7 linked regions of the Nothobranchius furzeri genome follow. The protein of the gene in region 1 binds, or shares a complex with, the protein of each later gene. Links are inferred from orthologs where the notes say so. Each region holds a gene or a part of one and is shown on either strand. Other genes may lie near its edges.

What was found.
Region 2: nup93 (region 1) and nup214 share a complex: the UniProt entries of both Homo sapiens proteins name them as parts of the nuclear pore complex. The link is inferred for Nothobranchius furzeri from reciprocal best matches to the Homo sapiens genes NUP93 and NUP214.
Region 3: nup93 (region 1) and nup188 share a complex: the UniProt entries of both Homo sapiens proteins name them as parts of the nuclear pore complex. The link is inferred for Nothobranchius furzeri from reciprocal best matches to the Homo sapiens genes NUP93 and NUP188.
Region 4: nup93 (region 1) and nup85 share a complex: the UniProt entries of both Homo sapiens proteins name them as parts of the nuclear pore complex. The link is inferred for Nothobranchius furzeri from reciprocal best matches to the Homo sapiens genes NUP93 and NUP85.
Region 5: nup93 (region 1) and nup107 share a complex: the UniProt entries of both Homo sapiens proteins name them as parts of the nuclear pore complex. The link is inferred for Nothobranchius furzeri from reciprocal best matches to the Homo sapiens genes NUP93 and NUP107.
Region 6: nup93 (region 1) and nup205 share a complex: the UniProt entries of both Homo sapiens proteins name them as parts of the nuclear pore complex. The link is inferred for Nothobranchius furzeri from reciprocal best matches to the Homo sapiens genes NUP93 and NUP205.
Region 7: nup93 (region 1) and cetn3 share a complex: the UniProt entries of both Homo sapiens proteins name them as parts of the nuclear pore complex. The link is inferred for Nothobranchius furzeri from reciprocal best matches to the Homo sapiens genes NUP93 and CETN3.

The regions. Positions count from the first base shown.
Region 1 is NC_091744.1:86,664,476-86,669,439, reverse strand, and holds the start of nup93 (nuclear pore complex protein Nup93), read right to left. Parts: upstream 2,976-4,964; 5' UTR 2,821-2,975; intron 1,764-2,820; 5' UTR 1,760-1,763; coding exon 1,581-1,759; intron 1,407-1,580; coding exon 1,289-1,406; intron 1-1,288. Other genes in the region: steep1 (STING ER exit protein), read right to left, coding at 4,961-4,964. UniProt on the Homo sapiens protein: Plays a role in the nuclear pore complex (NPC) assembly and/or maintenance. May anchor nucleoporins, but not NUP153 and TPR, to the NPC. During renal development, regulates podocyte migration and proliferation through SMAD4 signaling.
Region 2 is NC_091746.1:57,211,181-57,215,431, forward strand, and holds part of nup214 (nuclear pore complex protein Nup214), read left to right. Parts: intron 1-1,891; coding exon 1,892-1,944; intron 1,945-2,038; coding exon 2,039-3,493; intron 3,494-4,251. UniProt on the Homo sapiens protein: Part of the nuclear pore complex. Has a critical role in nucleocytoplasmic transport.
Region 3 is NC_091746.1:61,211,895-61,216,797, reverse strand, and holds the start of nup188 (nucleoporin NUP188), read left to right. Parts: upstream 1-1,947; 5' UTR 1,948-2,007; coding exon 2,008-2,033; intron 2,034-3,201; coding exon 3,202-3,256; intron 3,257-3,454; coding exon 3,455-3,528; intron 3,529-3,601; coding exon 3,602-3,686; intron 3,687-3,778; coding exon 3,779-3,859; intron 3,860-3,964; coding exon 3,965-4,009; intron 4,010-4,094; coding exon 4,095-4,187; intron 4,188-4,272; coding exon 4,273-4,392; intron 4,393-4,469; coding exon 4,470-4,681; intron 4,682-4,903. UniProt on the Homo sapiens protein: Component of the nuclear pore complex (NPC), a complex required for the trafficking across the nuclear envelope. Required for proper protein transport into the nucleus.
Region 4 is NC_091752.1:54,276,754-54,280,170, forward strand, and holds the end of nup85 (nuclear pore complex protein Nup85), read left to right. Parts: intron 1-78; coding exon 79-230; intron 231-341; coding exon 342-459; intron 460-653; coding exon 654-754; intron 755-910; coding exon 911-1,062; intron 1,063-2,228; coding exon 2,229-2,330; intron 2,331-2,468; coding exon 2,469-2,567; 3' UTR 2,568-2,677; downstream 2,678-3,417. UniProt on the Homo sapiens protein: Essential component of the nuclear pore complex (NPC) that seems to be required for NPC assembly and maintenance. As part of the NPC Nup107-160 subcomplex plays a role in RNA export and in tethering NUP96/Nup98 and NUP153 to the nucleus.
Region 5 is NC_091741.1:38,092,569-38,096,819, reverse strand, and holds part of nup107 (nuclear pore complex protein Nup107), read left to right. Parts: coding exon 1-90; intron 91-2,237; coding exon 2,238-2,353; intron 2,354-2,452; coding exon 2,453-2,501; intron 2,502-4,251. UniProt on the Homo sapiens protein: Plays a role in the nuclear pore complex (NPC) assembly and/or maintenance. Required for the assembly of peripheral proteins into the NPC. May anchor NUP62 to the NPC. Involved in nephrogenesis.
Region 6 is NC_091744.1:88,207,276-88,210,556, forward strand, and holds the end of nup205 (nuclear pore complex protein Nup205), read left to right. Parts: intron 1-55; coding exon 56-182; intron 183-259; coding exon 260-333; intron 334-425; coding exon 426-554; intron 555-629; coding exon 630-756; intron 757-879; coding exon 880-1,052; intron 1,053-1,263; coding exon 1,264-1,393; intron 1,394-1,494; coding exon 1,495-1,623; intron 1,624-2,025; coding exon 2,026-2,102; intron 2,103-2,195; coding exon 2,196-2,348; 3' UTR 2,349-2,570; downstream 2,571-3,281. UniProt on the Homo sapiens protein: Plays a role in the nuclear pore complex (NPC) assembly and/or maintenance. May anchor NUP62 and other nucleoporins, but not NUP153 and TPR, to the NPC.
Region 7 is NC_091746.1:37,903,502-37,908,519, forward strand, and holds cetn3 (centrin-3), read left to right. Parts: upstream 1-1,988; 5' UTR 1,989-2,132; coding exon 2,133-2,149; intron 2,150-3,000; coding exon 3,001-3,139; intron 3,140-3,504; coding exon 3,505-3,619; intron 3,620-3,702; coding exon 3,703-3,894; intron 3,895-4,263; coding exon 4,264-4,307; 3' UTR 4,308-4,805; downstream 4,806-5,018. UniProt on the Homo sapiens protein: Plays a fundamental role in microtubule-organizing center structure and function. As a component of the TREX-2 complex, involved in the export of mRNAs to the cytoplasm through the nuclear pores.

The sequences.
Region 1 (4,964 bases):
ATTTTTTGGGTTTTATTAACTGTGCAATAGAAAAATAATTAGATTAATTGTCTAAATAGTCATTAGAATATTCGACTATTCGATAAAATAATCGTCAGAATAATCGTTTACCCCCAGCCCTGACAGACAGACAGACAGACAGACAGACAGACAGACAGACAGACAGACAGACAGACAGACAGACAGACAGATAGACAGATAGACAGATAGATAGATAGATAGATAGATAGATAGATAGATAGATAGATAGATAATAGATAGATAATAGATGATGGATAATAGATAGATAATAGATGATGGATAATAGATAGATAATAGATGATGGATAATAGATAGATAGATAGATAGATAGATAGATAGATAGATAGATAGATAGATAGATAGATAGATAGATAGATAGATAGATAGATAGATAGATGATAGATGATAGATGATAGATGATAGATAGATAGATAGATAGATAGATAGATAGATAGATAGATAGATAGATAGATAATAGATAGATAGATAGATAGATAGATAGATAGATAGATAGATAGATAGATAGATAGATAGATAGATAGATAGATAGAGATAGATAGATAGATAGATAGATAGATAGATAGATAGATAGATAGATAGATAGATAGATAGATAATAGATAGATAGATAGATAGATAGATAGATAGATAGATAGATAGATAGATAGATAGATAGATAGATAGATAGATAGATAGATAGATAGATAGATAGATAGATATAGATAGATAGATAGATAGATAGATAGATAGATAGATAGATAGATAGATAGATAGATAGATAGATAGATAGATAGATAGATAGATAGATGAATAGATGGATAGATAGATAGATAGATAGATAGATAGATAGATAGATGATGGCTTGCCAAGCTAAAATCCAAGGGGATTATTTCCAACACTGAGCTCAGAATTTTAAGTGTTTTTCTTTTCACTTATCTCTGATAAGAGACTGAATTAATCACAATTATCTAGTTTTACAGTGTTTGTTATGAGCCCTATAACATCAACCTTCCTGAAAGCCTCACTGTGTCACAGCACAGAATCATATTCCACTGATGTCAAGGGAATAATATAAGCAATCAGTTAGAAAACATTTGGCAGCCTTAAGTCCTGTTGGGGATGTTTAAAAAGGCTTGGCACACGCAACCATTAGAGCATTAAAAGTTTATCTTATTCATCTTACATGAGGCTTGCACTAGTAAGGCATCTGAAGCATTAGAGACTTGCTAGCAGGTGTCAGGACCCAAGGCTTCTCGTTTCATTCATACCTGTATGTCAGTGTCCTTGACTGGTTCCAGGGGCTCAAAGGTGGTGGCAGCACTTAGAGTTTCCAGTCTCTGTGAAATGTGGAAGACGTCTAAACCTCTGGTACCAAGGAGGATGGACCTGTTACAAGAACAAAAGATTGGAGAGGTTTCAACTGGCAGAGAAGTAATTTTACATTGACACCACTAGATGGCAGGCTAGGCTGGCAGGCAAAGTAATCTATCAATTGAACATCATGCCTGAGATTAATAACCTGGGGAAGAAAAGGGTTTAATAACCAAAAAGGTTGCTTACGCTTTCACATCTGCAGCATCTTGAGAGGTGCGAGTTAAGGTGCGGGATCGAAGCCTTTCCCCAGCCTGCTGGATCTCCTGAAGGTTCCTTTCCACATGTGGCAGTTCAGACACAGCTTCTGTTTCTGCAGCCAATTGTTCTGCCTGCTGCAAAAGCTCTCCAAACCCTTCTGCATCCATGACTCTTAACAGGTAGAGAAGTTTATAAATGTGATTTACTTGAAATGAAAACACTGAACAGTTCTCTATGGTAAGTGTTTTGCGGGTCTGGGTTTGTGCAATAAAATATTCCACTAAAAAATATATAATATTTTCATAATTTGCTTAACTTTAAAATAGTATGTGGAATATAAACAAAAATACGTTGTGATTTTACAATGTTTGACACTGTACAGACTTTGTGTTAGAGGTAATTAAAGACAACAGATTACATGACAGGATAGCTTGCCAGTATCTCTGTCAGTAATGACAGAGTGCAACTGTCTTGAAGGGAACATGATGCTCCGTAATCAAATAGTAAACAACTACAATCACAATCATTTCAAACTCCTTAGTTAAAAAACAACTGAACCCAAAAACATACTCTATGTTTTACAGTTTATGATTCATCTTAGATGCGTCAGCTCAGAGCCCAAAGAAGTCAATGTTCACTTTAGACAAGTGTGCACTTCTACAGTCACGTTATAACTTTTATGATGCATGGATAAAAGCTCCTCCTTGCCTTGCAGCTTTTTGATTAATTAAATAAAAACAAGTTTACCCTGTGTTTACATTGAGATACAGCATAACTGAAGATATAAAACACTACTTTTAAAAATTGGATGGTCTAACCTATAATTCTTTATGCTGCCTGGAGTTATAACAAACTGTACTATTTATCTACCAACGTAAAAATGCGTCATGGGGGAAAAGGCTTGAAAGGTAAACATGAGAAAGATTACAGCTGAACAGTTGCAGCGCGCGCATGATGTGCTTGACGAGTTGAGAGATCAATCTTTACGGACGTCAACAGAATACCGTTCGATAGATAAGTTCAGACATTGAAACTGCTTAAGAAATGTGAAAACTCGTACCAGACATTCCAAAACCGTGGTAGCATGCTACAACATAGCCTAGTTACAATCAACCGGCGACGCTAAACGGTTAGCGAGCTGGCTAAGATGCTAACGCTCGCACATGTTTCGACTTCATTTAAATTGATGTTAAATTTCTCTACAGTTGAATGGAGACGATTATTATACCTGTTTTAAAGTTGGATGAAATTACAGTTCAGCCTGTTCGCCTCATGTAAGTGAATAAATGTGCTTTTTAGATAGTTTCGTTCACAGGCAAGCGTAGTCCGCAGAAAGTATACCCCGGTATTTCTGAAGTCGTCGGTGATTGGTCAATTCAGACTGTATAACGGTGCGCATGCGTCTGTCGTCACATGCCTCCTTCAGGGTACTTGGGGAATCCTAGTCAAAAGCAAAAGATACCTATTATTTTCATGTGTGTCATTTTTTGTTTTCCGACTAACATAACATATTTAACAGTGTACATATTTGTTCTTTGTACGTATATTTGTATCCCTGCATTGCTTTAAATAGAACTTATATTAAAAATGATTAGAAGCATCGAGAGTAAAATACTTGGGACACATCACAACCCTAACACCGTACACGTGAAATAAATGAAACAAATCTTTTCATTTTTCATTTATCCCTGCCACTTGTCTTAATTGATACTTTTAATAAACATATATATTTTAAATGACCTAATACAATGCAGCCAATGGAATGATATTTTCTGTTTGTTTTTTTGTCGGCTCTAAACAAAAACACTGAAGCGTGAATCACAAAGAGCAGATGGGTGCTGAACTCCTGCTTCCAGACTCAACTGTGCAATGATCTGGTCATCTGGGGCACAAGCCCCAGAGCTACTTCATTATGTAACACAGTTTATGGGCACATGGACATAGCTGCACAACTGTGTGACGTTTTGTGATAAAACAAAAATCTTCACACAAACTTATTTTGTTCTTGTTCCATGAGCTGCATACGTTTCTGTCAGTGAAATAATTCAAGTGGCACAAAATTATTTAGAAATGAAAAATCTGACATTATTTGAAACAAGAGTGAAAGAACGTGCCACAGAAGTTTTTCTTTTAAATGTCCATATAAACTCAACATGTCCTCCTTTAAAAACAATAAAAGGTATAGAAATTAATGAATGAGCTTGTATTTATACTAGTATATAGTAAGTTATTGATGCCTTCACATATTGATGCTATTTTAAAAACATAAACACCACCAGAGAATGGAAAGCTCTTTTTTATCTGACATCTTGCGACAACGTTGTGATCTTTTCTGGCACGCATTGTTCTAAATCATCCTTTTTATTAAAGCTCAAGTTCTTGTGAACCACTGTTTAACACGTGTTACTTTTTGATATTCCTTTTTTACATCATAGTTGTCAAAGAGCTGATTCATAAAGTGTAATATTGTAAAATCATCTAATTTTGTTGTGATCCAAAAACTGGACTTAGAAAAATAACTTTTTCATAATAATCTTTTTAAATAGTTCTAATACTCAATAAATACATTCTGTTAAACCATCTACCTGAATTTGACATTAGTTACTCCTAAAGCTGGATTTACAATTTCTAAATAATTACTGATGATCTATATCCATGTTTTTTCTCTCCAGGTATGTAGTTTATAAGAAAAATACGCTATAAATATATAAATATACAACAAAAATGATAAAAATTCAAGATTCTGAAAATGAGACAGCATCCTGGAAAAATGTCTTACAGAATAATTACAATTTAAATGAAGATAAATATATAAAATTCACATCTGAATGCCAATCTAAAATGTTTTGACTTCTGCTTTACTTTAATTCCTGGTTGAGGTATTTTTATTCACGGTGTTCAATTACATGCAAGGCTGCACTGTTGTTTTAATTGCTTGCACTGTTTTCATGATGGCACAGCGCTCTGGCTGGCCTTGAGCTGATTATAAGAAGCTAAATAAATAAAGGATGATATGGTAACTTTGTTGATGTGTGGATTTTGTCTCGACTATCTCTGATTGCTGCTGTGCACCAAATCTGTGCATGTGGGACATTACAGGACTGAACATAAACATAAGATTAAATAAAAGAATACCTTAACTGATAAATGATAGAAACCTTTATAGCTCAAACCAGACCAAGTGTTTACAAAACAACCCAAACCTTTAAATGAGCTTTATTTCTATAGAAAACTTAAGATTGGCTTAAACATCTGCCACTTTGCTTAAAGAACTTTTAACCATAATACACACATCCTCTCTCGAGTCCACATATTGTCCAATGAAAGCAGGTGAAGGAGAGAGGAGTCGAGTCTCCCAGTCCGAGTCATTAC
Region 2 (4,251 bases), on another chromosome or scaffold:
CCAGAGATTAGACAGTCCATCCCCAGGTCTCCCGGCTCTGGTTCTTACTCGGAATGCGCATAGGTGGGATTGAGTAGCTCCTCAAAGTATTCCTTCCACCGTCCGACTATAGCCCCAGTTGACGTCAGCAGCTCCCCATCCCCACTGTAAACAGTGTGAGCGAGTTGCTGCCTTCCTCTCCTCAGGCGCCGGACAGTTTGCCAGAACCTCTTTGGAGCCAATCGATAGTCTTTCTCCATGGCCTCACCAAACTCCTCCCACGCCCCAGATTTTGCCTCAGCAACTGCAACTGCTGCACCCCGGTTGGCTATCTATCCGGTACCTGTCTGCTGCCTCCAGAGACCCACAGACCAGCCACGCCCTGTAGGCCTCCTTCTTCAGCCTGACGGCTCCCCGAATTTCTGATGTCCACCAGCGGGTACGGGGGTTGCCACCACGACTGGCACCGGCCACCTTGCGACCACAGCTAGCAACAGCCGCCTCAACAATTGCCGAGTGGAACAAGGCCCACTCGGAGTCAATGTCCCCCACTGCTCTTGGGACGCGGTCAAAGCTCTGCCAGAGGTGGGAGTTGAAGACCGTCTTAACAGGTTCTTCTGCCAGGCGTTCCCAGCAGACCCTCACTATGCGTTTGGGTCTGCCAAGTCTACACGGCATCTTCCCCTGCCATCTGATCCAACTCACCACCAGGTGGTGATCAGTTGACAGCTCCACCCCTCTCTTCACTCGGGTGTCCAAAACATACGGCCGCAGGTCAGATGATACGACTACAAAGTCTATCATCGACCTGCGACCTAGGCTGCCCTGGTATCAAGTGTACCGATGGGCATCCTTATGTTCGAACATGGTGTTCATTATGGCCAAACTGCGACTTGCACAGAAGTCCAATAACAAAACCCCACTTGAGTTCAGATCAGGCGGGCCGTTCCTCCCAATCACACCCCTCCAGGTCAAGCTGTCATTGCCCACGTGAGCATTGAAGTCCCCCAGCAGGACAATGGAGTCCCCTGATGGAGCACTATCTAGCACTCGTCCCAGGGACTCCAAAAAGGGTGGGTACTCTGAACTGATATTTGGCCCATAAGCACAAACAACAGTCAGGACCCGTTCCCCGACCTGAAGTCGCAGGGAAGCTACCCTCTCGTCCCCCGGGGTAAACCCCAACACACAGGCAGAGAGTCTTGGGGCTAACAAAATGCCAACCCCAGCCCTCCGCCTCTCACCCGGAGCAACTCCAGCAAAGGAGAGTGTCCAACCCCTCTCAAGGTCTTGGGTTCCAGAGCCAATGCTATGTGTCGAGGTGAGTCCGGCGGTACTGCTCAACCTCTGCCACAAGCTCCTGCTCCTTCCCCGCCAGCGAGGTGACGTTCCATGTCCCAAAAACCAGTTTTCTTGTCCGGGGATCGGACCGCCAAGGCTCCCGCCTTGGTCTGCCACCCGATCCACACTGCACCGGACCCTTCATGTTCCTTCTGCGGGTGGTGGGTCCACAGTTGAATGAGCCCATGTATCCGGTTCGGGCTGGGCCCGGCCGGGCCCCATGGGCGAAAGCCCGGCCACCAGGCGCTCGCTCACGGGCCCCAACCCCAGGCCTGGCTCTAGGGTGGGACCCCGGTAACCCTCCGGGCCGGGTACTCCGACTCTTTGTTTTTACGTCCATGAAAGATCCTGTGAACCGTTCTTTGTCTCACCCTTCACCTAAGACCAATTTGTCATGGGAGACCCTACCAGGGGCACAAAGTGCCTCAGACAACATAGCTCCTGGGATCATTAGGGCACTCAAACTCCTCCACCACGATAAGGTGACGGTTCAAGGAGGAGTGACGTGTTTTGAATTATGTTGAATCATAAATGTAAAGTTAGCTCCACTGTTGTATTTTGACTCTTGCAGGTCAGCAGGCTTCAGTTTAACCTCAGCCTCACAAGGACTCGGATCCTCACAAGGTAAAACTATCCAGAAACCTGGTTCTGTCCATAAAACCGTGAAATGGTCATTCATGCCTTCATAATCACAGATTTCTGCTTCCCTTCTTTACAGTTAAAGATGTGAACAAGTTCACTTTCAGAAATGGCAAAGCTGTATTTGGTCAGTCTGGAGACCCGCCGTTCTCCCTCATCCAGAAGCCCACCTCATCTGGTCTTGGCACTGGGTCTCCCACTCTGGCTTCAGATGCATCTGTTGAACCAGGGAAACTCCCATCCACCACATCTCCCCCTGCTCCCAGGGTGGAGCCACAGCCAGCAAAGCTGACTGGAGGAGAGACACTGGGCATTTTTTCTGGTCTACGTGTGGGTCAAGGAGAAGAAGCCAAAGATGCTGCACCAAATCCAGTTGCAGAGTTTACACTTGGGGAGGCTGGTATTGGCCTGGGTGTGGGAGCGCAACAATTTAGCTTTAGTGCTGCTGACTTGTCCAAGGGGGCGGCGCCTAACAGCTTGTTCAAGCCTCCTGAATCGACCTCCAAGCCGGCGTTTTCTGTTCCCCCATCCGACTCAGTGCCTTCCACTTTGCCTACATCTTTCAGTAGCCTTGTTACACCTTCTTCAGAGGAACCAAAAGCCCCCCCACAGCCTTCAGAGCCAACACCACCTCCCGAAGAAGAGCCTACTACAAGTGACTCTACTGAAGACAGCACTAGTCAGTCTGTAGCACCAGAACCTGCACCGAATGCAGTAACCATGGCAACACCTGCAGCATCAACCCCTGCAGTGCCTGTTATCACTACTGTTTCTACTCTAGTGCCCCTTTCTACCTTCACTGCACCAGCTGAAGCAGTCCCCCCGCCACCAGTCAGTGCCCCATCCACAACAGAAGCCCCCCCAGACTCCTCCACCACCACACCTGTGTCCACTTCACCTGCTGCATCTGTTGCCCCTGATTCCCAGTCCCGCCCAGCAGCATTCCAAGTGCCCCCATCGGAAAAACCCGGTTCCATCTTCACTCAATCAACTCCTGCAACTACAGACAGCAGTTCTGTTGGGGTCCCACCTGTTATCAACACAGCTGCCCCCGCAGCCACCACCATCACCCCTTCAGTGTCTAGCGGTACTCCAACCACCACTGCTGCTGTGTTTGGGCAGCCTGTAGCACCTCCGGCATCATCAGCTCCAGCTCCCACAGCTTTTAGCTCTTCTGGGTTTGGTGCAACAACTGGAACCGGCTTTGGTAAATCCGTGTTTGGTCAGAATAACCTGTTCGCCCAACCTTCCAGCAATTCTGGATCAGCCAGCAGCTTTTCTTTTACCCAATCTGGATTCGGAGCCACCTCTAGTAGTGGGACCACCGGAGGAGGAGGTCTCTTTGGGTCTGCCACTGCCAGCAACGCAAGTTCCTTCTCCTTTGGTGCGAGTGGCGCCAACACAGCGCCAACACAGTTTGGACAGAGCACAACCCTGGCGTTTGGCCAGAGCTCTGGATTTGGGCAAGGACCTGTATTCGGGAGTAACACCACCACACCTTCATCTTCAGGATTCAGCTTCAGTCAGCCTTCAGGTGAGCCGAGCCGGGGCTTTATCAGGTCAGGTGTCACCTTTAGGGATGTTCCAGTCACTCTTTTTTGCTTCAGATCTGAGTCATTTGATTTTGAGTATCTGCCAATACCAAGTCCCGATCCGATACTTCAGGAATGTGTTAAAAAGGAAAAGAAAAAGGAGAACACATACAAGTTGTCCTTTAAAGCTTTTTATTATTGTTTGTGGTTTTTTGTTGTTGTTTTTGTTTTTATGTCATTTCGTTAGTTTATCTTCTATAAAACTCTGGCTCAGATAGAACATTCAGAAGAAATGTGTCAATGTTACAAATCTATTTAAAATTTGTCTCTTCGCTCTTATGTCAAATAGTTAACTTGGCGTGCAGCTGTTTTGAGCAATGTGCAATCCCACGACAGGGCAGGCACGGCACAAGGTGCTCAGCAGCAGGCTCACACTTCTCTACAAAACACCTGCAGAGCTGTGGGTTGAGACGAAACAGCAGCTCATACCGTGGCTCAAGGAGAAGCCCGACGTTTGCAACCACAGTCATCCAGTGCGATACAGCTAACTTGGCATTTGCATGTTTTTAGCTGAGTTGCTGCAGCAAACGGAGTAGTTTGTTTTTTAAGGTGGCGCATCACCTTTGTAGTGTTGAACGCAGCTCTACCATTTCCACCACGTTAAACGCACCGGTTTAAAAGACGTCCAAACTGAAGACTTACTTTTCCTCTCAGTGGAGGAAACACGTTAGCTCTGCTTTAGCCTGCTAGTTAACAGATA
Region 3 (4,903 bases), on another chromosome or scaffold:
AAGCAAATCTACAAAGGATTTCATGTCTTCATTGTCAGTGGACTCAGCATTTTCAGGCAGCTTTTCCAATAATTGGTCGAGAGAATCAAGATTATCAAAAGATGGGTTGCTTTTATCAAATCTTCTTGTTTTGTTCTTTGTATTTTGTTCTGGGGCTTTTAAACTCCAGACAGGGCCTTGTTTAAAAAACTGCTGGGTACATAGCCCTTGATCCAGGACAGCTTTTTTAGGCGGACCAAGAACCTTTACTATCATCTTCAAATATTCATACTCACAGAAAGTTGGAAACAGCGAGGCCCCAAAACAGAGCTGTGCTAATAGACATCCTACACTCCACACATCAGCGCGTTCATCCAGGGGACTGTTAATGAGAATCTCTGGGGCACTAAATCCACAATTAATCGGGACCTCCATCTTTGAAAGTTCTGACGTTCTTCCAGCATAACTGAATCCGTTCAACTTTATGTGTAAACCGTCTTCCAGCAGCTCAATAGTTTTTGCTGTTATGTTGTTATGAGTGATGCCTGCTTTTTTCAGCGTATTTAATGCTGAGATAATTTGTTGAGCGATCGTTCTAATGTCCTTAATGTTCAGACGCTTGTTTTCTTGATTCTCAACAAAGTTTAGCAATGTTGTGTTAAGTTTTTCAAGAGCAAAGCAAAACCAGTCGCCGTAATCAAATGTTTCGATGATTTTCACAAACTTCTTTTCATTAGGAAATAGGTCATTGAGATACAAAAGCAGGTTCGCTTCTTGTTTATACCGATGTAAAACTCTCTTGTGAATACATTTCACATAATACATTTCCTCATTTTGATCTTGGCAAATGGTCAAAACTTCACCATTTATTTCCACAGGTGGGAGTAACTTAACTATATACGTGTTGGTTAAACTTTCAATTCTGGTACCGAGGGCTATTTTAAAACTGCTCGACATGTTTCTGAAAGCTTGTCTAGCTGCGTGCTATTCTGCTCGATCTGCTAATGTAAAGTAACTGTATATGACGTCACGTCTGCGAATTTATGCACTTTGAGGCGCATGCGCATTCTAATTAATTGTAACCATCTGGAGATGATCTGTCAAGTAGCTCCACTCTGAGGCGCATGCGCATTCTAATTAATTGTAAGCACCTGGAGATTAGCCAGCTGTCAAACAGCTCCGTCTGCGTGTCGGCGGTCACGTGGTTAATGTTTTCCTCTTCCAAACAGCTCAGCGCTGCCAGCGTCTTCTGGCAGAACTGGATGCTGAAGCCATCATTTTCCCATTTCTACAGTAATATTTTGGTGATTTTTGACAATAAAGTGTATTGATTACTGTAACCGGCAGCTGTCTGTTTCGCTTTATATAGAGGAGCGCTGCCGCTGCAGCGTCCTTGACAAGCCAGACAGCCATTCTAGATATTTATAGTTGTTCCTAGCAGTAATTAACATCCACACCAACTATTCAGAACGACTATTTCAGATATCTGGAATGTAACTCCTAATTCCGTTTCTTCTTTCTACAATGTTCATTCTTGACAGGAAGTCTGTAATTGTGGAAGCGCTGTAGAAGCCAATAAACATGAATGGGAAATGTGATGTCATTTGTTACATTTCACATATCTAAAAAAAACGGTCATGCTGGACAGTAGAAATGTTCTCGTGGATATCTGGAATTTTAATTTCTACTAGGAACAATACAACACATATCCAGTCTGCTTAATGTTAAAACGAGATATCTGAAATAAGTGAAACCAGTTTTAAAATAAAAGAAAATGTATTCAGTGATAAGTAAACAGAACACCTAAATATGAATTCAAACAAAAAATGAAAATTGAAAATGAACAGCAAAAGTGCCTCAGTAAAGTAAAATTTAAAACAAACCTGCTGCAAGGAACTGAAATTAAACGTTTTGTTCAGAGGAGGGCAGTAAAGCATCATTAAGCACAAGTCCAATTCACGAAGAAGAAAGTTTCCGTTTGTAAAGACGTCAGACACTTTACTAACCAATCACAGGGCAGAATCTAAGATGGCGGAATCGGAGATGAGTGTCAGGTAGAAACATAAGCGACTAACTAACATTTATTGTTAATAAATAGTTAAGAGACGTTGATAATGAGTAAATCTGGCTACAGCCCGTGTTCATTTATTAAATCACAACTGTGGCAACAGAGTCATTTAACAGTCTGTTTTAAAAAGAATTAGCACCATGCTCGTATAGCTTAGCATGTGCTAGCAGCTAAACATTTCAAAAGGTTTTTGTAGCGCGGCGCTACCTCACATGTCAACAACAGTCAGAGCTGTTGTCAGCCAGGGAGATTTTTCTGGCAGAGATAGAAAACGCGTGCTGATGTCAAAATTATTACGTCTTGTAGTAAAAGAGGCTAGTCTATTGAAGCTAAACCCATCATTTAGACACGATGGAAAAGACCGTCTTAAGTTGGAATTATTTTAACGGACAGATTTTCTAAAATGAACCCAACAGAACCTTAAACCAATCGTAGTAAATAAACTGTATTATTTAACAGTTTTACCATAAATAAAAGGCTTATTGAGGAACATTAGAGGACATTTAAAAACTGCTGAATCTGTCAGACCGGTGTTGAGAAAAAACTTATGGGATTTCAAAGAGGCAGATTGACAAAGTTGTTTTATATCAAAGCTGGTACAGAAACACGATTTAAGAGAATTTAGTTCAAGGTTTTAAGGAAAAACAATAAAGCATTTTAATTCTGTATCAACCTTTGTATTTAAGGCAGTCAGTGAGGATGTTTGAAGTGTGTGTAGTGGTTCCATTCATATTTAGTTGTATTGTTCTTGGTGATTCAGTACAGTGCATTAGCTCAGCATTCTCTACAATCTGACCTTGATGATCATTTGGGTTTGAATTTCAGTTTTCTTTAAACACAAACTAAATCTCTCTTATTGTGTTTTAAATGCATTGGGTGGGTGCATGTGCAACATGCGTTTGACAAACAAAGATATGTATAACCTGATTGACAAACTTCACATCTAATTGAGGCATAAGGAGTCCGGGCAGGTCTACAGTTTTGCCCAGGACACATTTATGTTTTATCAGTTAAATGCATCTGAGGTCACTCACAAATGCAGCCTGTCAAGTCAAATTTGCATATTGTAGTATTTTCCTTGTAGTGGATCTGCATCATATCTCATTTATTAAAGGTTATTGATTTGCTGACTTTCACCTCTCTTCTCCTCTTAGGAGCTGTAGAGAGTTATGGACCATTTTGCTGGGGAAGTCTGCTCTGAGAGAATCGGTATGTCCTCCTCACTCAAAGAGAGCGTATGCTGAACTTGACCATCCAAAATTTTAGACAATTTATCCATAAGTAATTTCCTGGTTTAACTCATGCTATTCTAACTTCTATATAAACACACACACACACACACACACACACACACACACACACACACACACACACACACACACACACACATTTGTATTTTTGGTGCAGGCTCAAATAGAGGGAGAGCTTGACAAGCACTGGGACAGACTGCATCAGGGACTCAGTTACTACAAGCCACCCAGGTATAATTACATCAAGGTATTTTCACATCAGATACATGAATAAATGAGTAACTATTAGCTTCACCTCCCGTAGTTCATCCTCCGCTGCGAAAGTTAAGGAAAACAAAGATGTTGCACAGCCCCTGAAAGACTTTGGTCTGAGGATTAGTAAACTGCTGGTAAGCATTTAGATCTTTTTATGTCACAGAGGGTGGATTCTTACGTTTTCATGACTGCTGGTTCATAAGGGATTGTTGTAATAATGTTTTAGAATCTTGATGAGCAGCAGAGTGTGCAGCTTTTACAGTGCTATCTGCAGGAGGACTACAGAGGAACTCGTGATTCTTTAAAGGTGTTTGCTTTCAACTTTTTTTGTTCTATAACTTACTAGAAAAACAAAAATCCACTGGTACTAAATCATAGGTCTGAAGAGATTTAACAGTAGTTTCTGTGACAGGTTGTTCTCAACGAGGAACGGAAGAGTCAGGCTCTTCTCCTAAAGGTATGCACCCAAACTAGCATTACGTCACTTCTGTGCCATTTTCCAATCATTTCTGTTTTTACTAGTGTTGTTAATTTTTTTACAGATCGCTGATTATTACTATGAGGAGCGCATGTGTCTGCTCAGATGTGTCCTGCTGCTGCTGACATACTTCCAGGATGAGCGACACCCCTATCGGGTGAGACATATTTCTTTTTTTAAATGCATTTCTTCCTGATGTGATGTTTTTTTGTGTAAATAATCCTTGTTTTTTTTTTGTCAAGGCCGAGTACAGTAACTGTGTCAACAAGTTGGAGAAGGACCTGGTGAACAGCTATCAGTCACAGTTTGAGAACCTCTTCAAGGCTGAAGCACCAACATGGGAAACCCATGGCAACCTCATGGTAAACACTGGGTTTATTTTTACAGCAGCGTACTGTAGCCCCGTCTGCTTCCTTACACTCTTCTTCTCGTTTGCAAGACGGAGAGACAAGTCTCACGGTGGTTCCTGCAGTGTCTGAGGGAACAGTCTCTGCTGTTGGAGATCATCTTCCTGTATTATGCATACTTTGAGATGAGCCCACCCGACCTTGTAAAATTCACCAAAATGTTCAAAGAGCAAGGCTTTGGGTTGCGTCAGACTAACAGACACCTGGTGGACAAGAGCATGGACGTGCTGGTTGACCGGATCGGGTAAGGTCACCTCACTGACTTTGTATTTATGTGTTAAAATTGGATGAATGTATTTATTATTGTAAGATATGAATGTGCTGACAAACTGTCACAGAGAAAAAAACGTGTGTTCATATCTTGTAACCAACTTTATGAACTAAATGTAGTAAAACCATCTTTTTTACACTCATCTTTCTGAATGTCACCAATTCTTTTGTCGGTTTCAACCCGCTCAGTTGAAAT
Region 4 (3,417 bases), on another chromosome or scaffold:
CTGGATCCAAACATTGAAATATGAGTCGTTCTCTGTTATTTTAGCGTTCACTAACCAGATGTTTCTGTGTGTTTTTAGTCTCTGGCAGTGTGCCGTGGATTATTTCGATCACTGCCCAGAATTTGGCCGCGTCTATCTGGAGCTGCAGATCGAGCGAGTTCCTTTGGACACGGAGCGCAAAGCGCTCAAAGTGCTCCGAATTTGTGAGGAGAGGCAGATGTCAGAGCAGGGTAGGGGCTCGGTCGTCCTTTTTATCAGTTTGTGTCACAAAGCTAATCTCTCTGGTGTAAGCTAGGCTGGAAAAGCTTGACCTGGTTTGTTTTTTGTTGTTTTGGTCCCAGTGCGGAGCATCTGTAAGATCATGGCCATGCGGGCTGTAAGGAACAACCGACTGGGCTCTGCTCTCTCCTGGAGCATCCGAGCCAAAGATGCTGCGTTTGCCACCCTGATTTCAGAGAGGTCACATCCCTTTAGTGGTGCTCTTACTGAAATATACACAACTGACAGCTTCATCTTCATTCTCCAGGAACACATTTAACTTTTACCTACATGCTTCTTAAGCTTTTTATAAGTATCACTGTTGGGCTTATTAGTTCACTAAATGTCTTTCTCTCTGAAAATGATTTGAAGTTGTTTTTGTGTTTGTGTTTTAGGTTCCTGCAGGATTACTGCGCCAAAGGCACCTTCTCTGATCTGGATCTGATCGACAACCTGGGCTCAACCATGCTGCTCAGCGACAGGCTAACCTTCCTTGGTAGGAGCCTGAACACACACACACACACACACACACACACACACACACACACACACACACAAGACTAATAGAAACAGAACCAGTATCCGCTTGATGCAACAACATGTGATGGTGAGAATTTCTGGAGGATGATTTGATAGAAATGATTCTCTCCAGGAAAATACCGTGAGTTCCACAAGCTGTACGGAGAGAAGTGCTTCAGCGATGCTGCAAAGCTGCTACTCTCCCTCATGACGGCTAAAATCGCTCCCCAAAGCTTCTGGATGACGCTGCTGACGGATGCTCTGCCTCTGCTGGAGCAGAAAGAGGTCAGTCCACACCTGAACATCGGTTTAAAGTAGATTTGTTATTACAAAATCAAGAACTTTAGTTTATCCCTTTGATGCATAATGGTCACTACAGTGGACAGGTACTCAAAATAGTTATTTATTTATTTTTGCTATTAAGCACAGCTGTTGAAGACTTTATTGCATGTGAGCCTCTCCAGTTGGACTTCAGTAAGGCAAGCCAACATATTTCATGTTCAGAATGCACGCTGTCCACTGAGATAGACATGTAATAAAGTATTTGTAAATTAACAAAATGTTACAAAGAATATTTGTTGAAATTTGTTTAATTCACACCTAAAGATGAATGAAACAAATTGTTTAAAAAATCATGGTTGAAGATCTCATAATTCATGCATCAGAGGGTTAAATGCACAAATCTGGAGCATTCAGATGTTGTTAAATGAATGTTTTGATCCTGTTTAAGATCATTTGTGACCTCCTGGTCAGAGTTTTGTGTGCATGAAAAATGCTGCACAAATAGAATAAGTAATATCTATCTTTAAGTAGGTATTTGTGGAACTTTTTATTCATCATTAAAAATTAATTAATTTATGTAGTTTTTTTGAGTGACACACTACCGTATGTTATTTTTAATGTGAACATTACTACCCCTGTTTTATTAAAGGGGCACTTTGCAACTTTTTCATATTTTGAAGTCATTTTCTTGAGCCAGTTTGTGCTAAAATGACCCTTTTTGAGGTTAATTAAAGGCCACACAGCTCCTATCATCTCTCCCCCCCCCCCCACCCCCCCATGTGGCAGAATATCCCACTTGCAACCCCAGAGTGCCGGTAAAAAATTGAGCTGACACACCTGGCGCTGCAGTCTGCTTCCTGCATGTTTTGGATCGGGAACACATCTGATATGTTTGATTTGGTGACGACTCACTCCTGTAGACACTAATGAAGGCTGAGGAGTCATTTCAGCTGTTAGATTAAGGTGTTAAAAAGACGAACGCACAGCGAGGAGATTTCTTGGGGGTGCTAAAACTGCCTAGTTACCATTTAAACCAACTGACTACTAAACATGTTTCTTGTAAGAGTTAGCATATCAAAAATTGAGCTATTTGTCATTTTTTATTATGTGGATGAAAAAATCCGAACAGTTGGAGTTTCAGTGGAGTAACTTGTTCTCCTTGTTTTCAGGTGATCTTCTCTGCAGAGCAAACCTATGAGTTGATGTACTGCTTAGAGGAGCTCACCTCCTCTCTGATCACTGCTGCTTCTGGATCAGGCAGACCCATGCAGGTCTTTATTCTTCTTTCAGCTCGTCCCAGCAGCTGGACATTCCTGTTTCATAGTTTTAACACAAACCAAACCCAGTTTGATGTTAAAGTGATTATCTACTGCCGTTTCCACGTTTAAAATCTGTCTTTCTGTTTTCAGGAGGAAGACGTAGAGGTGACCAAGGTGGAGATGCTGAGACTCGCCCTGGCCAGAAATCTGGCTTCAGCTATTGTGAAAGAAGGAACAATGCAGACATAAAGTAGATTCAGATTTAAAAACAAGCTCTTCTTTTGCATTTTTGTACTGTTAATAAGATCAAGTCATCAAATGTTTGTTTTTTGATAATAAATATCTCTTCATTCCGTTCACTTACGTTGTTTCTAAATCATTTTTGGGAAATTATTAGAATAAATCAAAATATCAAACATATCAAATTGTTTTAAATTATTTAACTGTAAACAAAAAAAATCACGTTCACGCAACACGACACAAAAACAGCAGCTGTGTTTTATTAAACAGGGTCATTACAGTTCAACTGATCCCTTTTCTTATGAAAACAATCTCATTTTTCCAGTTATTGACCCTTCTCATGAATTATATTCCAAATATGTTTAGCTCAAATTTTTACAAAGTGTTTGTTGGACCAAAAGCTTTCTGTAAGAATTCAACTGCTTTAGTGGGGGAAGTTCCAAAGCAGTAAATGATTGTGTCATCAGTGTAAAAGTGCATATAAGCATCTGACACATTTTGTAATAAGTCATTGATATACATAATGAACAAGAGGGGTCCCAAGACTGAGCCCTGTGGTACTCCCTTGTGAACACTAAAAAATTCAGAGGACAACCCATCACAATTAAGGCATTGAGTTATGTCCTTGAAGTAGTCTGTGAACAATGGGATTGCATGTTCAGACAATCCCAAACAAAGAAGCTTTTGTTTTAAAACAGCATTTACACGTTGAGGGCAGGAGGCTTGAACCCAAAATGCAAGAACCCAGAGATACACAGGCAGGAGTGATTGCAAAAATAAGAATCCTTTATTTAGGAGGAGTTGCAAAAAATCCAAAGGGCTTGAATCTAAGCCTCGCATACAAACCACTGAAAGCCAA
Region 5 (4,251 bases), on another chromosome or scaffold:
TTTCCGGAGTTCCTTACTTCCTTTCTGAAACATTCTTCCTCTGCTGTGTTTGAGCTTGTGGAGGATTATCAGAACATCTGCAAGGACAAGGTAAGTCAGGAGGAGCTTAAACACACCCTCTGAGGGCCTTTATCAGGATTTATTAGTTCCATTAGTGGTGCATTTAGGCATTAAAACTTCTGTTTATACCTGCGTCCACTCACTGTGAGGGTCATCTTTTAAGCAGTGGGGTATATTTTGAAATATATGCCCCACTGCTTAAAAGATGACCCTCACAGTGAGAAAACTTAATTTTCTGTAAATTATTTAGATTTCTGCTGCCATGAATAGCAATTATTCGTCATATGTTTTCCACATTTCACAAAGTGTTAAAAACATGACAGGACAAGGAATGAGGTCCTGCTTCAAGTGGAGGAGTTTAAGTATCACAGTGAGGGAAAGATGGAGCGTGAGATCGATAGGCGGATTGGTGCTGCGTCTGCAGTGATGCGGGCGTTGTACCGGTCTGTCGTGGTGAAGAGAGAGCTGAGTCAGAAGGCGAAGCTCTTGATTTATTTTTTGATCTACGATCCTAACCTCACCTATGGTCACGAGCTTTGGGTAGTGACCGAAAGAACAAGATCGTTGACACAAGCGGCAGAAATGAGTTTTCTCTGCAGGGTGGCTGGGCTCTCCCTTAGAGATAGGGTGAGAAGTAGAGCCCTGCACTGAAGCCCTAGGCCCGGGGGTCGGCCCGGCCCGAGGGCTGGGCTTCGGGCCGACGACTGTGTAATTACCTCGGACACGGGCCGGGCGCCTTTATTTTTAATCAAATTCATAAAAAAACCGGAATCACTTGAACGCAGCAGCACCTGCCTGCGTCTCACGCACCGGCACCCGTTAGCTCAGTTAAGGTCTGTGTGGTTTATAAATGCGCCTATTCTCAAACAGCTGATTGAAACATGTGCCCCTGTTCTAATATGCCATTTTATGTCCACTTTGATGTCAGAAACCATTCGTTAATTCTCATGAAAACGGCAGCGTTCTATTTTTCTGTGAATAAATTCGCTCCGCAGTTAAAAAAATACAGCATTCACTGCTGTATTTTTTTCTAACTGGAGAGCGCATTTTCAGAGCGGCAGATTCAATTTACAAACGCTTATTGGGGGCGTTTATCTAATCTGCCGCTCTGAAATGCGCTCTGCAGTTAGAAAGTTAGAATGCTGCTTTTTTTCTAATTGCACAAGAGCGTGTTTTCAGAGCAGATTAGATTTACAAACGCATCCGATTAATATAGCGTTCGTAAATTTCATCTGCCGCTCCAAAAATACGCTCTGTTAGAAAAAAAGCTGCATTGATGCGTTTTTTTTTTTATTTTACTGCAGAACGCTTCTCACAGATAATTAGAATGCTGAGCATTCTTTCACGCTAAAACATTATGAAAGGTAAAAAAAAAAAAAAAAAAGTCTGGCTCGGGTCGGGCCAGAGAATCCTGAAAACCTTTTCGGACCGGGTCGGGCTGGGGCTCCACCTGCTCGGGCCGGGCCGGACACGGGCTCAGATTTTAGGCCCGTGCAGGGCTCTAGTGAGAAGCTTGGTCATCCGGGAGGGGCTCGGAGTAGACCCGCTGCTCCTCCACATCGAGAGGAGCCAGTTGAGGCGGCTCGGGCATCTGGTCAGGATGCCTCCGGGACGTCTCCCTGGTGAGGTTTTCTGGGCTCGTCCAACCGGGAGGAGACCTAAAGGTAGACCCAGGACACGGTGAGGGGACTATGTCTCTCACCTGGCCAGGGAACGCCTTGGGGTTTTTCACCCTTGACCCATTTTCATGTCTGATAAATCTGTTTAATGTTTCGGATCACCGTCAGAGTAAATGTACCTGTTTAAAGGGATTTTAAAGAACAAGCACCACAAAAGTGAAGTACTCTGTCAGGAACATGGGGAATAATCAGGTCACTGATGTATGAAGGAGCCTGACTATTAAGAGCTTTCGATGTGAAAAGGAGGATCTTAAAATCTCGTGCGAGGTTCTAGAAGTTTCAAAATGTGTCCTAAATAAACCTGCTACCATCTCACCTCCTCCAAAATGTGCTTCCGCCAGGTCCAAAGTTTTACGTGAAGTTTTCCTGTATAATTCGCAAAGTTTGTGAGGAAAGTAATTGCGCAGTTTTCAGACCCTGTTCTGTGCGTAGGTGAGCTTTCTGATGAGGCCCCTGAGCACCGGGAGCCCAGAGCTAACAGGATTGGTTTCCTTTAAGGTGGATGTGCTTCAGTCGGTGGTGCTGAGAGCGGGTCAGAACAGTAAAACGGCAGGAGTCTGCTGGCTGCTGCAGCAGGAGAGCTGCACCTGGAGACTCGTTGCTTCACTCTACAGGTATCACGTCTCACTGGTCGAGCGAAATCCACCCGTCTGTCTGTCTGGTGGTGCAAACGTCCACCCCTCTGTGTCTAATTCACCTGCTTGTCTCTGCAGAGATCGGGTCCAACTGGCGCTGGAGGACGACATGATGACTGACGTGGTTGTAAGTGACTTCAGGTTCTGCTGTAGTCTTTCTGCTTCTGTCTGTCAGCAGAATATCATTTCAGCTGAGCTGAAGTTTCTTGTGTGTAGCTGAGAGTCGTACTCATCACTGTCCAGCATCACTTCCAATGTTTAACTAGAAATCCATTTCTCAACATCTTACTATAAAACTCTAAATCAGGGGTGTCCAACTCATTTTAGCTCAGGGGCCACATTGAGGGAAATCTAGTCCCAAGTGGGCCGGACCGGTAAATTAAAAACAACTTCAGATTGTTTTCTTTGTTTTAATACAATCATTATAAAACAAGGCTGGAGCCCGAGGACAGTGTATCCAAAATAGTACAAGTACAACACCTGAAGTGTACTTGAAAATTTGAAAAATAAATAAAAAATAAAATCAATAAATAAAAAAAAATTCCTTAGTGATTCAAAGAGCTTACAGATCACATGGCTAGATCAGTTTAATGCAGCACTTAAAGTATATTTGACTCATTTTACTTTACATCTTTTAGCTTTCACCAGCACATCAACATCAGAAGTCACAGCCTGAGTGGCGGCCATCTTCAGGATGTGATTCAAGTTCTTGTGTGAGCCTTGAGCGCAGCTTTGTTTTATTTATACTCATTACAGAGAAAACTTGCTCACAAAGATAAGTTTATTTTCACTCTACATTGTAAAGTATGAAAATAAAGTTTACACAACCATCTCGCGGGCCGGATCCGACCCACGGGCCGCATAGGCCGCATATTTGACACCCCTGCTCTAAAGGAAGCAGGCGGCGTGCATCCCAGTAACGACTTTAATTTCTTCATATTTTGATTTCACTGAGGAAAATATTGGCTTATTTCTGCTAATCTAATAAATAATCTGAAGAAATCAAACAAGTGGAGGACAACAGTAGAATCAGGCCTAAATTATTGTGTTTAGGTGGGTGAACTTTTTCTAAAAATCACAACTTAACTCATTCACTGCCAGTGTTTTTCAGCCTTTTTAGCATTTTGTTAAGAGCCACAGAAGGTTGAGCGCTAGCATGATGTCGACGCCAAAACAACCAAAACAAAGCGGAGACTCACCTCTTACATCAGGAAGAATCCGCGTGTTTCGAGCGTTATCCGTTCTTTCATAATCCGTTGTTGAATTGTGATCGGCAGAAGCTTTTCTGGTTCGCGCCTCACTTTTTTTACAGCAGCGGCCCAAAACGATCTCCTAACACATGGATGTTCTGCTTCCTGATCACGTGAAGTGTGACGTACGCGGATGAAGATCGGCTTTAGAGCTGAGATGTTTGTTCTCACAGTGCGGGGGCTCGTCCGACGCCCACACAGTAAAAACATGCAAATGACGATTTTGGTCGTCAATAGCACTGAACGAGTTAAGGAAACCGAAATAAAAAGAGCAAAAATCTTGACTCAGACCAAAGTGATTAATCCTCTCTCCGCTTACGATTACGGGCTAAGTTTTCATCCAGTGGCTCTGTAACCGGATTACAGGATACAATAAGATAATTAAAAGAAAAAATAAACAAATGGGCCAATAATTAGGTTCGGGGAGAATTGGAGGTTGTTTAAGAATGACTGGAGTCACGGGTATAGCATGAAACGGTTTATATACTAAATTTTAATAATAGTGGGAGATATAACACATAAAGATAACACATAAAAACAGATGAAAACAATCGACAATAGTAAAATGGTCGGTATGAGATTTGATCATATGAGTCACAAGTCAGCCGGCGTCAAGTCAAATCCCCA
Region 6 (3,281 bases), about 1.5 Mb from region 1:
TTCTAGCTCTGAGGTGTAAGAAAGTGGAGTGTTGTGTTGGTTCGGGAACATAAAGGTTCTCCAGTGGCTGATCGTCCACGCGGACACCGTCCAGTCCCTGCTGCGCTGTCAGGATCTCACCATGGGAGCTCTGCAGGAACTCTCTCTGCTTACTGGCATCATCAGTAAAACTGCACTGCCAGGTATTCAGCAGTAACTTACCTCTGTGTGTGCAAACTCTCCGTCTGTGACTTATGGAAGGGACTTCGTGTTCATCCAGGTGTCCTGGAGACGGGTGGAGAGCTCAACAGTGCTGCTCTCATGGAGTTCCAGGGTCACATTAACAGATTCCAGGTGAGACCACCTTAAATGTTCTCTGCAGGAACCTTCCAGGGTCCTAAATCAGCCTCATGGTGTGCAGCTGGTAACAGATGTGCCTCTTGCAGCGTTTGTGTCTGGCGCTGCTGAGTCGCCTGGCAGGAGGGGAACGGGAGAGGTTGTTGAAGCAGGCGGAGATTTCTGCACCTGCAGATTCAGCCGAACACAGAGAGGAGATGGAGGTGGCCATGCTGCAGGTTTGACTTTAATCGTTGGTGCTCAGTTGTTGTGTCTAGTCGGTGACCCGGCTCACGAGTGCCTCTCTCTCCTAGGTGTGCGCCAACATCATGGAGTACTGCCAGACTCTTCTGCTGCAGAGCTCTTCTCAGGCTCAGTTCAGCATCTGCCTCTTCAGCCCGTCGGGCAGCGAACCGGCCGGCAGAGACGGCAGGCCCTCGGGTCGGTGATGGTCACCTTAAATGTGTTTCCTCTTTCTGCCGCTCACTTTAGACGTCTAGTGAGTTTCATCATTCAGAAACACTCATCTCGTCCGGTTTCCTCTTTCTTGTTTTCTTTTTAAAGATCTCTCGACTTCTCTGCCATCGGTTGCCCATTCGCGGGTCCCGAGCCTGGGCCTGGTGCTGTACCTGCTGAGGAACAGCGCTGCAGATTTCTGCCAGTTCCACCAGAGCCACAAACACGGTCTGGCCAAGCTGCAGATTCTGGACCAGCTGCCTCCAGAGGAGCTCAAAGAGGCAACTTTCATTCATGACTTGACATATTTGATGGTTTTCTACGTTAATGATCTCTTTCACATATTGGCTGACTGAGTGGGACAGAAGTTGGCAGCAGGTCTCGCTGAACTGCATCTTTAAGATCGGACCTTTTAGAGGGCAGCAGGGCTGTTGTCTTCTGGAGGAGGCCGTCCTCCTTCTCGTGGTTCTTATTCACATTTCCTCTGTGCAGCTGTGCCAAGGCCTGGTGTCCGGTCCAGGAGGGGTGGAGAAGATCTCCTCAGTCCAGAGGAGCCTGCTAGCTAAAAGACGACTGGTCCAGCTGATCAACAACAGAGCCAAGCTGCTGGCGTTATGCTCCTGTATCCTTCGGCTTTTGCTTGCAGCCAAATAAAACCTCCAGTAATAGTTTTCCTTCGGTTCGTCAGCTCGCTCCTTTCAGGCCTTAACGAGTCTTCCTCAGATGTGATCGAGACCAGTTTATTTGTGTTATGGCGCCACCTGGAGTACTACCTGTTGTATTGCACCCCCTCTGACCCTAGGGACTCCTTGTTGCCCGGATCCAGTTTATTCAGATCCCGCCTCACAGATGGTGGGTTAAGCTTTCCAACTGCTGGTTTACGTTAAACAGATCATTAATGCAGTCGTTGGCTCAAGCGCAGCTATAAATACTCAGACATGTAATTAGTGATGCACCGATACCGATATCACTGTTATGGCCGATACTGACATCCTGACATGAATGCTTCTAAAATCAGAAGATTTTGTGTAGAATTAAAATGATTAAAGCTGAATTTACGTTATTATGCACACATTCATGCTTCTGAGATGATTTCATGGGTTAGGGTTAGGTTGGTAGTATCAGCCCGGTTTTATTTATCGAACCGATATGTTGAAACAGGACCAACATCGGCCGATACCGATATTGTCTCGCCCTAATAACAAAACTGTTTATACAGAGGTGTTCTTAAAAACTCACGTTTGTTTTCTCCAGAGTCCCTGGGGGGCCTGCAGGCCGGCGGCGGCCGTGGCCTTGGTCTGTCGAGAGTCAGCCAGCAAGATCTGGACCTGGTAAGAAGATGTGGCTAACTGCTGAGTTGACCACATTCATTAGCTTTTATCCCGATTCTAAAGGCCTTCGTCCTGTTTGCTGTTTCTGTGCAGCTGAAAGGTGACATGGCGTCCGGATTTGGCGAGACTCTGCAGAGGAAACTACTCGACATAGAAAGCTCGTACAGTCAAGTCCGCTCTCGCTACACCTTCATCCAGGCGCTGGTCCGCAGAATACGCGGCTTGCTCCGACACGCTAAAGGCTGATGTCAACAGAAGATAAACGTCAGTTTAAACTGATTCATGCCCACCGGTCCAGATCTTCTACGGGCCGTCGGGATCGCTGTAGAGCTCCAGACGTCTCATATTCTAATTATGCCAACGATTCTGTTTGATAAACACCTGCGATAGTTCTACCTGTTCAGAGGGATTTCTAATCTGATGTTTTTTTTCCTTTTTGTGAAAATAAAATTTTCTAAGTACTTGAAATGTGTTTGGAACTTTTATGACGCCCAAATGACCAGCGTCCGTGTGGGACGCGGTTTTCTGTCCCGTGTGGGACGCGGCGTCGTTTCTGATGACTGCGACCGCTGCTTCAGCCATGTTTGGTTGACTCATCGTGTAAAACTGTAGCAGCAGAACAAAAACAAGACTTGCGGTGTGGGAGTAGCACCACAACACTGACCACCAGAAGGACAACTCACTGAATGTCATTTATTTCCTTTAAAGGTACACTTTTAAGGCCTAAAGTGCGTGAGACTTTCAATCCTTTGGAAAGAGGTGAGACAGAAATGCAGCTCTACGTTTACCAGACAGGACTTGTGCTCTTATTGGAATACTGAGGAGGGAAAGGGAACGGAGCAGGGCGAACGCTCGCGTTGGAAATTAGAGGCACATTTCTCCACGGCTGGCGGCCGCTGTGGGTTAGTGGGCAAAACAAAAACAGGATGCATGATTAACGAACCACGCTCGTCAAACTATAAATTACTTTAAATAAGACAATTAATTACAGCTTTTCCAAACTTTTACACGCAGATTGTGCTGCTTTTGCGTCAGGAGGAAAATGTCCGATACTCGTCTGGAACACCCATGTCCAGTGGGCGGGAAAACATCCTCGGATAAAATACTATTTTTTTTTTACATTTTCCATTTTAAAATACATGATTGCAGTATAAACAGCACTTAAAATGAAGTCCATTA
Region 7 (5,018 bases), on another chromosome or scaffold:
TATCAGGAGTTGCAGGTTTGGAGCCCAGATCTGGACGTCTGTTTTGTTTCAGGTTTACAAACGGAAACAGTTTAATTGTTTTATTGTCAGCAACTCTCGGAGGAAAAACCAGACAAGCTACAGTTTTGAGTCATGTTGCAATTCCCTCAAACACAGAGCGTAAAGGTTGAACTTTTAAGGCAAGGCCAATAAGACTGGCATAACTATGAACCATTTAGAACGAGATCAATACAGTGGGGCAAAAAAGGTTTTCCCACTTAAAAAGATGAGGAAGGTCTGTAATTGATATCATTAGAGATGCATCAATACCACTTTTTTTCCAAACCGATACGATACCGATACTTGAATCTGATTACTTGCCGATACATATTACCGATACTTCTACCACACAAAAAATACAATGAACTGGAATACAGGTTTAATTTAATTTTCTGCTTTCAACAGGAAAAGACTGTGATGTAGATTATATATATATATATATATATATATATATATATATATATATATATATATATATATATATATATATAGATAGATAGATAGATAGATATAGATATGTATATGTATATATATACATACATACATTAATAAAAATGATCACAAAACTAAAATTTTAGGTGAACAGAAATGACAAGTTACAGTGAAGCCACTTTCAGGCAGCTGCATTGCTATCGGTTCCTTGTATTGGTTAACTTTTATCGATACCGATACCAGTATCGCATCGGTGCATTCCTAGTTACAGTTTGCTTCAACTATGAGACAGAATGTAAAAAATCCTGGAAGTCACACTGTAAAATTTTCTAAGAAATTATTTGTATCATGGTGCAGAAGATACATATTTAGTGCCTACATATGTGCAATAATTCTGGTCCTCACATACCTGTTACTTCTTCTTTAAGAAGCTTATCTATCCTCCACTTGCTGACTGAATTAGTGGCAACTGGTATCTGTATAAAAGACACCTGTCTACACCTTCAGTCAGTCAGACTCCACCATGGCCAAGACCAGAGAGTTGACAAACGACATCAGTGTCAGGATTGTACACCTGCACAAGATTGGCTTGAGTAAATCCACAACAGGTAAGCAACTTGGTGGGAAGAGATCAACTGTTGCAGCAATTATTAGAAACTGGAATAAATACAAAATCACTGACAGTATTCCTCGACCTGTGGCTCTGTGTAAGATCTCACCTTGTGGGGTACAAATGATCTTGAGAATGGTGAGGAAACAGTCCAGAAGTACATATGGGGAATTAGTGAATGACCTGAAGAGAGCTGGCACCACAGTGACAAAGGTTACTACTGGTAACATACTACATTGTTATAGATTAAAATCCTGTGGCACTCAAAAAGTCCTGGCGATGTTAGAACATCCACAACTTAGTTTAGAGAAAGAAGATTTTTCCTATGAAAGAGCACTCTTTGGTGGGCAAAAACTAAAAGCAGCACTTTTTGGCAACTCTGAACTCTGGCTGCTTAGAATTTCTGAAAGTTAAGATTTAACTGGGCTTGGAATAATAGTTTTATAAAGCAGCTTGAACGTATGAGACTTTAACAGCTGGTGGAGAGGGTGTCCCCCCACCCCAAAATTTTTTTTAAAACAAAATCAAGATTTGAGGTTCATAAAGACCTTGTGAGTGTTACATTAGCACGTGAAGTCATTAGAATAATTCTCTATGTCCAAATTCACCAGATATTGAAAATTTTAGGAGAATTTAGGTACCTTACATAATATACAGGCCCTTTCTTCTTCTTTATGCAATGGTGATGTGTCAGAATATTTTTGATTCATCATTGGTTTGTATGTGTATATATATATATATATATATATATATACCGGGCATATGTATATCCATCCATATGTATAATATAGACTGTGGTATCAGTTATGAACACGAGGTGGCAATAGTGCTCTAATTGACTGCATAGAGCAATGACAACGACCGGGTAAGCGGCCTTGAAGAAGTAACATTAACCAACCAGATCTCGCCTAACTGCTGCCTGGCAACCAGCGACCAATAGGATTCCTGGTGTGTGAGCGCGGATAAACGGATTTGTTGTGTTTGCTGGAAGCTGTAGCCACATAGCATTCAGAATAACATTTGGTTTAAAGGTTTTATAAATTCACCTGGAATGAGTTTATCTCTAAGGTAAGGAGCTAACCTTTTGTCGCGAGATGTGGCTGTTACAGTTCAGTTGAAACCGGTGGTACGTCGAGATTTGTTCCCCAGTTGAAAAACGTACGCCTTCGCTTGTCTCGTCAAGATGATTTCGTCCTGCCAAATTGTACAATTATAGGCGTAGATGTTATTTTTTTTATCAGGATAAGACATTTATGAGGGAACGAGTCCCTTGTGTATAACTGTAAATTGAGTAATATTATCTAATTGTATCGTAATCTGAATTAGATTAGAATTAGTGATATTCACTAAACATGATGAATTTCACAGCTACAGCAATGACCAAATGATTAAGATATATATTTTTAGGGATTTTCTTGAAATAATATTGCTAAACACAACAGTTTACAAAGAAGCTGGCGGAGAAACGGTGGGGGACCCGAATGTACTAGTTTTTTGTTTTGTTTTGTTTTTTTCCATCTGTCAATAAACAATTTCCCCCAGACTTTTGGAGGTCCTCCCAATGTTTTTGGTAAATGTGGGTTGTTTTTGTTGTTGTTGTTGTTGTTCAGCAGAGGCTTTGGAGAATGAGGTTTACCTTATTGTTGACACATGACCTTAAACCTTAACCAAGTTTGACCTACAAAGCTTTAGATGTTCTTCTGGGTTATTTTGCTTTTGATTTTTTTTAGAACAAGGCATAAGGTAGATTTTTTTAAGATCCTTTAGCCTACCCTGTGTCATCAGAGAGACCCCAATAAACATTACAGAAAATGGTTTAGTTCTCATTGGATAACAAAGTGTATGGGTTAATGCATTAATAAGTCATGGCTGTGATACAGGTAGTGTCTGAGGTGAGACTGCATGTGTGTTTGTTTCAGCAGAACTGATCTTGCAGCTGAGACAACCAAGCGCAAGAAGAGGAGGGAGCTCACCGAGGACCAAAAGCATGAAATTAAAGAAGCTTTTGACTTATTTGACACGGATAAAGATAAGGAGATTGACTATCACGAGCTGAAGGTAAGAAAATGGGCCATAGTGGTGGTTGTTATGGTTACCTTATGGTTTTTGTGCCTGAAATAATGCCGTATATAAGTTATGCTTTTATAACCTCATCATTCCTATTTTTCTTTAACTGCTGTGAATGTGGAGCACCAGGTATTTATGTATTATTATGTAAGTAAAAGTAACTAAATACCATTTAATCACCTTTTGGAGAAACGCTAATGGGTTTTCCATGTCTGAAGGCACCCTGCTGAAATAAAGCTCCAGGGGAATTGGAGCTAACGTTCTACAGCAATAACATTTATTTGTTGTTTTAGTGCTAGTTACTAATTGTTCTAATCCTGAATTCAAACCAAAACAACATTTAAACATCTTGTCAGGTGGCGATGCGCGCTCTCGGTTTTGAAGTGAAGAAAGTGGATGTTCTGAAGATTCTGAAGGATTACGACAGAGAGGGAAGTGGGAAAATCACCTTTGAGGATTTCAGCGAAGTGGGTAAGGTGGTCATCGGCTCTGGTATTACCTCATAGCTTGAGGTGCTTCATTAGCTACTAAACCTTTTCCCTACCCCTCAACAGTTACGGATCGCATCTTGGAGCGAGATCCCAAAGAGGAGATCATGAAGGCTTTCAAGCTGTTTGACGATGACGAGTCAGGAAAGATCAGCCTGAGGAACCTGAGACGGGTTGCTCGAGAACTCGGGGAGAACATCAGCGACGAGGAGCTACGCAGCATGATCGACGAGTTTGACACAGACGGGGATGGAGAAAGTAAGACCGGAGTCTGAGATGAGAGCAACTCTGTCTCTCTTTTGTTGTGATTTTGTGTCTGATTAGAGCCGCAGATGCAACAATACCAACATCATCACTGCATCTTCTGGCACACACAGGCATTTTAATTATTTATATGATTGTTCCTAACATTGTTGCTTTCACTGTTAGACCAGATCCTGTCACGTCAGCAGGCATCTGCTGCCCTGGAACAAAATAGATTTACTAACGACAATGTGTAAACATGTTCAGTTAAAGTAACAAAAATCCACTGCTGCTTCGCTTTTTGTTTGTTTTCTTTCATTCTTGCGTCTAAGCTTTCCAGGTAAATCCAGTAGATCTGACCAGGTGTTTTTCCCTTCTTTTCAGTAAATCAGGAGGAGTTCCTCTCCATCATGACCAGAGACCCATGAAGAGGTTTCCCCATCTGTAAGTTGGACTCTTTGCCCATATTGGGAGGAGATATGGGCCTTGTTCTCTTGCTTCTGAGGTGGACTGGACTTTATCAGGAGCCTGGAGCTTTGTTCTGACTTGGTTTGATAAATAAAAGCACCAGATCGTGTCTGGACCAACATCTGCTCACACTGCTCAGTTCCTCTCGTAGACATGAAGTGTCAATATGATGCTGACCTGCTGGCATTTCTTTAAGAAGCGAGCTTTTATTCATGGAGTGTGTTTGTGTAGAAGACGAGTCTGAAGCTCCGTTAGGAACGTGTTAATGTGATGTAGTAAAACACAGAAGATCAGATCTGTTTCACTCGTATCCTATTTGACCTGTTGCAGTTATTAGTTAAATGTGGCATATTTATTTTTAAATTGTTTTGCCAACCCTACTCATTTGTCATTTCCCAAAGAGCCAGAGTCGTCAGACCCGGCACCATCATACTTTAATAAAGTACTTTCAAAGTTCAGCATCATGTTTGAATGGTTGTTTTGTGTTTGACATGTGCGGTGGCCACAGAAGAGGCAGGAGAGCTTCAGAGTTTCTAGTAAAACACGATAAATTTAGTGTTAAACATGAAATACACACCCCTCAGAAGGTTTGCTCCAGGCTTCAGGAAAGGATAACAGTTGTTGAACCTCAGAATCAGGATTGTGGCTTTTGTCCAGTTCACTGAACACCG